Caenorhabditis elegans: one gene and its partner. The protein of the gene in region 1 interacts with the protein of each later gene in a pairwise test. Each region holds a gene or a part of one and is shown in the gene's direction. Other genes may lie near its edges.

Region 1 (4,057 bases):
AGGAAACACAAGAAAACAGTAAAGAGACGATGGAACAAATTTTGTTGGATTTTAAGAAACACACAATTTTTTTGGTTAAATTTTAAAGTTTTCTTTTAGTTTAAAACAGAGTTTTAAGAAATAAATCAAGAACCAAGCTTAAAAACTCTGTGGAAATAAAAAGCTGGAAATAGTGAATGCGTGCCGGGTCATTGCATAAACTGCGCGCGGCAACTGCAAAAAAGGGCGGAGCCCGCGTAAATTCGTATTTTCTCTCTGCTCATTGTTGAAAATTCTCTTTAGTTTTTACCCTGGTTTTCTCAATTTCTTACATTTTTCATGTATTTTTTCCATACATAATTTGTTTCTTCTTTGATTCTGTCTTTTAAGTTCTTAAAAACGTTCGTACATTGATGGGATCGTTACTTTTTCAGATGGAAGCCATTTTTTCGCGAATCATCAGCGACAAAAATGCTTTTTTCAAGCATCAGCAAATGAATGAAGAGGAACTGACAGAAGATGAAAAAATGGAGATTCTGAAAACGCTGTCGAAGGAGAAACTACCAGTTTTTCTCTCCAGGTTTCTATTTTTTAAAGTATATTTATATTATTCCTTTCTACTAATTCTAGGTATCAAAAATACCTGGAACCAGTAGATGGTCAAATTTTCGCTGATAATGATGATTTTGTGGTTCAGAGTATCATGAAGCAAATCCGCGGACAGCAAAAGATGACTGAGAAAGAGGTACGCCGGGAGTGGTTCAACAAGATTATAATTGTTTCATCAGTTTCAGAAAAGGAATTACCGATTTAATGCGATGCAGAATCTTCTGAAAGAAGGCGAATTTTTCTCTGATGCGAAAATGAGAGAAAGGGAACCCTATCTCTTTGATGCAATGATTGGAAAGTTTCTGAACGATGAAGGTATCGATTTAAACTTTGCAATAGTTCAAATTCAATATTAATAAATTCCAGAAAGAATGGACCATCTTCGTCCAACTGTGTCTCGTGACAAATCGGAATCTACTTGGTCTACTCTAATGGACCGCCTTGAGGACAGTACAGAGATTGCTGAACGCCGGAATCTTCAAGAAAGGGAATGGGAAGGCTCGCGGGACCTTGATGATGGGGGAAGAGATCATATAAACCGGTTCATGTCTCATGTCGATAGTCATGCCGAGAATTTTGTGCCAGAAGAGGAGGAGGGAGACGAAGAAAGCACTGAAAAAGTTGAGGATGAGATTGAAACGATGCGGAAAGAAATGGAAAGACTGTCTAAAATTGTGAGATATTGAGACAGAGAAAACGTCCAATTAAATCTTAAATTTCAGGAAGCTGAGCAGTACGATGATTTAGACGAGAATGAAACGCAACAAGTCCTTCGTCGAGAGTTTGAGGCTTTCATGCAACAGAAGTTTTTGGCGGGAAAAGATAAAGAGTGCGTTTAGAATGAGATAACATCTGTATTTCCGCTAACTGTCTCTCTTTTTATGACCTTCAACCTTCAATCACAACGAACGTACTTTCTAACTCAGATTTTCCTTTTCCTCACTTTCTCTCATCTATCTCTTCTTGTCCTCTCGACCATCCAATTTTCCATTATGTAATCGATGAGAAGACTTTCTCCACTTTTGTGTCCTGTATGCTGTCCATTGTAGACAAGAAAACTCTAATTTCCTTCTTTGTTTCATATGGAAAAATCTAATTTGTTTCAGATTCTACGACTACTCAAAATGTGAAGAATTTGGATTATCAAATCCTATCAAAGAGCGAGATGACGAGGAACGATGGTTTGAGAAGGATGATTGATACTTTTTTTTTCTTAATTTTCATTTAAAAAAATTTATTTTCACTTTTAAATATTATTTGTTGTTGACAAGGTCCCTGGGCCTTTGCTTATATTTTCATTTATCTACATTCATTTTGTTTATGTTTATTTTAAATAATTGCAGGGTTTATCACTAGTGACATCAAAATACCGACGGCGCGATGCACAAGAACGGAAACAATGGACCTGTCATTGACACAAAATGGCACTATCTCGGCCCTGACAGTGAAAAATATGGTTGGTAACTAAAAATCACGAAATTCAAACTCAATGTGATACATTTCAGGACCATATATGTCAAAGGATATGCTGTTCTGGCTTCAAGCGGGATACTTCAACGACGGTCTCCAATTGAAAACTGAAAATGAGCCAAACTATCATACGCTTGGAGAGTGGAGCCAATTGCTCGGAACTGTATGCATTTTTCTCTATAATTTATTGGCATGACAATTATTGTTTTCAGCACCCATTCAGTATGCCTGTGCACTCACTGGATGCGACGATTGCTCAGATGAACTCAATGCGGCCTCACGGAGCAATGATGATGGTTCCACCTGGACTTCAAAATCAATTCCAACCACCGGTGATAAAATAAAATTTATCCTCTTGCAATTTTTCATTAATTTGTTTTTCAGATGCCGATGCGTTTCCCACCATTCCTTCCAATGCCGCTTCTCCATCAAATGAATCAAAATGGACCACCAATGGGTGCTCAAATGCATTCTCAGCCACCATCGGAGCCAATCGACGCTGGATCTCTGTCCCATACCCCAGATTCCGAGAACGAAGTAAGTATTTGTAGTTTCTTGCTTGTGAACCGGCGCTTTTGTGATGACTTGTCCCTAGCATGACTTTGCATGAACCCCCGGCTTCTTATATATCATTTTCTCGTTTTGTGCGTGCTTGATAATTAGCTCTAATAATTCTTATCCGGCTATTCGAATTTAGACGCGGTTAAACGAGCAAACTCTCCAGCAGCCTCCATCGTGGCTAATTGCCCTTGGCCTGGCGGTAAGTTATAGAAATGTATCAAAGGGAGGTGTGAGTGTGAAACTGTTTAATCAAAAAAAACGAGGAGAAATATTTTTAAATTTTGTGCAATGTTATACAGTTCACACCAGTTTCAGGGACATGGTCGTAAGCCACACCATCATCAGCAAATTCTTGCCCATCAGCACATCCCACAGATGCAGCACGCTAATGTTGCCACCGACCAAGTTGTGATGAAGAGCGTCGAGTGCCAGACAGAGCCAGTTGAGGTTAGATATTATTCGACATTCAAAGAAATGATTTTAAAATAGTTTCAGATTTCAAAGGAACAGGCTTCTCGTGTTCTTTCCGAGTTGCTCGGACAAATGGTTATCATCAACTAAATCTTCTCTTCATTTTCCTTCTTTGCCGTCTACAATCTACAGTTTATTCCCGTTCATATTGTTAAACCGTCTGCTTGCTCGAGAATTGAGGCAAATCGTTCGAACCCGTGTGTGACATTCTGAGGGTTTCCGTAGTTTTGCAGCAATTCGCGAGCCATAACTCATTGACCCCGTATTAGTTTGTTGGACTCATCACACATTTTCCCCCATTTATCCATGTCTATCATTATCGACCGCTACCGTTTTATTCTTTTTCCACCTCCCCCCTCATCCTTCGCATTCATGATAATGTTGATATATTCAATTTTTGTTCATTTTGCCTTTTCTCTCTACTTGTCCCTTCGATTTCCCCCTCATCATCACCCACGTCTCCATGCTTTATAGCCCCGAGTTTTTCCCTTCCAGTTTTTCTTTTTTCTATTTATCTCTTTTTCATTATTATGTGTTGTTTTATTTCCCAATTTCTTTTAATATTTAATTTCCTCCCGAAATGTTCCATTATCCCCATTTATATGTTCCCACCGTTTTAGTAGGCTTTTATTCTGCTCTCATTTGGTAACCTGATTTCCTTCTCACTGTTTGAACCGCAAACATAATGAAGAGTTCATTTGTGACATGTGGAAAGTTGCTGTCGAGATCGTAATGCACATTATTAGAAAAGGGAAATATTTCATCCGATCCAGGAACCAGTTCAGAACAAAATAATTTAAAATTATTAAATACCATAAGCGAAAAGCAAACATTTTAAAACCTTTTCCACCAATCAGGTGGGCGGAGCTCGAGACGTTGATTTGTTTGAGCTTCTCGTTGTGGAGGGACTTCAAAAAAAGATTAGTCGCAAATGAAATTGATGAAGCAAAAACTCAGAACTGTTATT
Region 2 (4,059 bases), 140 kb from region 1:
TGAACATGCCGTTTTTCGATAAACCAACAAACAGATCATCATATTGTAATCAAAAAGTTTGTAAGTTGGCCATTTATATTTGAAAATAAATAAAGCTCTACAAAAATAATACATTTGTTTTTCTGAAATACCCATTTTTAATAATTTGTGGGCAACATATAATAGTCTTAACAACAGACTGAACACTTTTTAATTTTAAATCAGGTATACCCACTATTTCATTTTCTAGACACCATACCGAAAACCCTAAATTTTGGCAACACGTATGATGTTGGTATTTGATTTTATCCTTAAATTTACAATTAGAGCTCATTTTTATTCTGTTTTTGTTTCTATAGTTTTGCAGTTCAAATTTTAATTATAATGTGAAAATCTTCCAAGAAAACATTTTTTCAGCTTTCCAAAATCGTTCTACAGAAATTTCCGAATTGGTCAGGTCTCTTTCAACTAATCGAATTTTTTGACATACTGGAGCTGGACTAGTATCAAAATTGCCAAATTATTTTAATTTAATTATTTTCATGTTTCGTCGTCCTTTTTTTATCGAAATGATATAGGTAGAAAGGCGTGAAAATAAAAATATATTTCACGAATTTATTGTCTGATACCAACGTCATTCTTGAATAGATTTGGATTTTATTTCAGTTTTTATTTCACTAAATAAACATATCAAAAGTGTTGGAAATTGTGGCTCCTCCTGAAGTCGAACAATCGGAATTTCCGTTTTCAGAGAATGTAGGCTATTTCAAATAATCGTATTTTTCGGTTTTGTGCAATTTCTAGCATATTGAATATATATCTTGCAAATGTGATGTGTTGCTGACAAATATGAATTTTAACTTTCGCTGATAAATATCAGTACAATTTATGAATTGAATCCTCTCAATCACATCTCAATTCTTTCATATTCGTCCCCCCGCAATACAAAGCCAATAAAGTGTGAAAAACAAAGAAATGGAGCAAATAGTGAGCTATGACTCAACTAACGTATTTCAGATGGGAATTGCAGTTTAGTCATGAATGTGTTATCATATCAGAAATAGTTCTTGACATTTGTGAAGAAATATTATACAGAAATTCCAAAGCGATTGTTTCCAATTGTGGCAGGTGTTCGTGTCTCTTTTTCTGTCAGTTTATGGTATTCATTTCCATAAAATTACCCCCTCGGTAGCCACAGATGGTCATAATTCTTTTGAATTCAGTTATGGAAATACCACATTACGTTCAGAATGTTACAGATTTTAAATCATTTTTCTTTTGTGGTTGTAAATTGAATCACTTGTTTTAAAAAACCATATTACCTATATGTATTATTTTATTCAAAAACTGAATTAATATACTCAGTTTAAAATTTCAAAACAAGAGTTTTCGTGGGATGCAGTTCGTTTTTTAAATTCCTTATTATCCTGAAATTTATAAGGATGGTTTACTTGTGCAATACGAAACAACCTTTCCGTAAAAATGATTTTGAAACAAGGTTGAACACATTTTTCTGCACCATCATGAAGGACGAGAACCCAGCTGTCATATGCAACAGCAGTGACCATCGAACACCTGCTTCTTCTGTGAAACTGATTATGTGACCGACAAGTCGGACATTTTATATTTTATTTTACACGAGAATATTTGTTGAAGTTATCTTATCAACTTTATACACTTTATATGCATAGAAAATGTTTCATCGTGTGAACATCAAGTGAACAAACGTGCGCGTCGGAAAATGCGTCAAGCGGTTATTGGCGCACTACTGGATGCCTTGACGCATATCGCGTGCAAAAAGCTTTCATCTTCTCTTCTCATTTTCTCACGAAAATCATAGTTTTATCGACTTTCCTTTTGTGTTCAAATTCTTCATTCCCAGTAGTTTTTGTCCTTTATTCATTTCCAATTCTTTTTCAGCCATATGTGGCCACGAAATGATGTACACATGGATGATGGATCGATGACACCGGAGGACCAGGAGCCTGTTACCGATAATGATATGGAATATAATGTATGTTAACATTTACAACCCTTTTCAGAATATAATTTAATTCTAATTGAAATGTTTGTCTTCAGGACAATGGAGAAGAAAGCTCGTACAGCAATGGCTCTTCTTCCAGCTACAATGCTGACAAATTATCGTCGTAAGCCTTTTTGTAGTGAATATTTATAGCAAAACGTACCAGTTCCAGACCTTTGCAACACAAACTTGATTTATCGGCTTCTCCCTCTCGAAACAACGACCTCAATCCGCGTGTCGAACATTTGATCGCATTATTCAAGGTAAACATATTGATTGATTGTCGCGATCAATCTTTCAGCGTTGCGGCTAATACACATGCAATAAATTAATATTTGAATGCGACAATAATTAGTAACATGACAAAACAATGCATTCAAGCTCCGGTGAGGGTGACCTGTGTATTATTGATTTTTCCAAACCTTGAAGAGAGCACCTCAGCCAGGCATATTCGCTCTATTTTTGCTGAAAAAAAGTGTAATTTGAATTCATTTTAGGATCTATCAAGCGCGGAACAAATGGATGCATTCACACGTCTGCTTCAGGAATCCAACATGACAAATATTCGACAGCTGCGTGCCATTATTGAACCCCATTTCCAGCGTGATTTCCTCTCCTGCCTCCCTGTCGAGGTATTTGTGTTGAAACGGAAAGAAAAATTATAAATATAACTTTTTCAGCTCGGAATGAAAATCCTTCACAATTTAACCGGATATGACCTGCTCAAAGTGGCACAGGTGTCGAAAAATTGGAAATTGATATCTGAAATTGACAAAATTTGGAAGAGTCTTGGTGTCGAAGAGTTTAAACATCATCCAGATCCCACGTAATACTTTTGAACGGGAATTATTTGAGATTAGTATTATCTTTTCAGAGACCGAGTTACTGGTGCGTGGCAAGGAACTGCAATTGCTGCTGGAGTCACTATTCCTGATCACATTCAGCCATGTGATCTTAATGTTCATCGATTTCTAAAGTTGCAGAAGTTTGGAGAGTACGTTTATTGGAAATATTATTTTTAAAGACGTTCCGATCACATTCGATTTATTTTCAGTATCTTCGAACGCGCTGCTGACAAGTCACGTTATCTTCGAGCCGATAAAATTGAAAAGAACTGGAATGCGAATCCAATTATGGGGTCAGCAGTGCTACGAGGACACGAAGATCATGTAATCACTTGTATGCAAATTCATGATGATGTCTTGGTGACTGGATCTGACGATAACACTCTTAAAGTATGGTGTATTGACAAAGGAGAGGTTATGTACACACTAGTCGGCCACACTGGAGGAGTTTGGACATCACAGATTTCTCAATGCGGAAGATATATTGTTAGCGGGTCCACTGATAGAACTGTAAAAGTTTGGAGTACTGTAGATGGTTCACTTCTTCATACACTTCAAGGACATACTTCCACTGTTCGATGCATGGCTATGGCTGGTTCCATGTAAGGCTATTCACTATGATAACTGCTTGGAAAAAGAAATTTAATACTGAAAATTTCGGGTTTCGTACAGTTGAATTCCCTAATTTGCGAGCTATATCAAATCTTGATGGAAAGTTTTTGATTTGTAGATCATTTATATCTTAAGAAAATTATTCTATCTAATTTCACAAAAAAAGTTTATGGTAATTTTTTTAAAACTTTTGTTTCAAAATAGAAAAACACGAACGTGTATTTGGTTGTTTAAGACTTTTTTAATACATTTTCTATCTTAAAAATGAGAAGAAAACGAAAAATCTCGCTGAATAACCACACTTTCAACCCATACATTTTAATTTTAATACTTTCAGACTTGTCACTGGATCACGAGATACCACTCTTCGTGTATGGGACGTAGAATCCGGACGTCACCTGGCAACTTTACATGGCCATCATGCAGCCGTTCGATGCGTTCAATTCGATGGAACAACTGTTGTTTCGGGAGGATATGATTTTACCGTTAAAATTTGGAATGCTCATACTGGGAGATGTATCCGTACTCTGACCGGTCATAACAATAGAGTTTATTCTCTTCTCGTACGTTTTTCTTATAACAAAATCCGAAAAATAATGT

Evidence for each region.
Region 2: the proteins of sao-1 (region 1) and sel-10 interact in a two-hybrid assay, tested with the Caenorhabditis elegans proteins (3 studies listed by BioGRID).

Annotation. Positions count from the first base shown.
Region 1 is NC_003283.11:13,962,004-13,966,060, forward strand, and holds sao-1 (GYF domain-containing protein), read left to right. Parts: upstream 1-1,968; coding exon 1,969-2,044; intron 2,045-2,093; coding exon 2,094-2,221; intron 2,222-2,270; coding exon 2,271-2,390; intron 2,391-2,442; coding exon 2,443-2,595; intron 2,596-2,755; coding exon 2,756-2,818; intron 2,819-2,928; coding exon of another isoform or gene 2,929-2,934; coding exon 2,935-3,066; intron 3,067-3,108; coding exon 3,109-3,180; downstream 3,181-4,057. Other genes in the region: R10D12.13 (CCD97-like C-terminal domain-containing protein), read left to right, coding at 414-559, 610-724, 768-903, 955-1,262, 1,311-1,417, 1,695-1,788. UniProt on the Caenorhabditis elegans protein: Involved in negative regulation of early and late embryonic Notch signaling.
Region 2 is NC_003283.11:13,817,462-13,821,520, forward strand, and holds the start of sel-10 (F-box/WD repeat-containing protein sel-10), read left to right. Parts: upstream 1-1,899; 5' UTR 1,900-1,903; coding exon 1,904-1,993; intron 1,994-2,058; coding exon 2,059-2,126; intron 2,127-2,168; coding exon 2,169-2,265; exon of another isoform or gene 2,266-2,388; intron 2,389-2,499; coding exon 2,500-2,634; intron 2,635-2,682; coding exon 2,683-2,828; intron 2,829-2,876; coding exon 2,877-2,996; intron 2,997-3,056; coding exon 3,057-3,449; intron 3,450-3,796; coding exon 3,797-4,022; intron 4,023-4,059. UniProt on the Caenorhabditis elegans protein: Probable substrate recognition component of SCF (SKP1-CUL-F-box protein) E3 ubiquitin-protein ligase complex, which mediates the ubiquitination and subsequent proteasomal degradation of target proteins.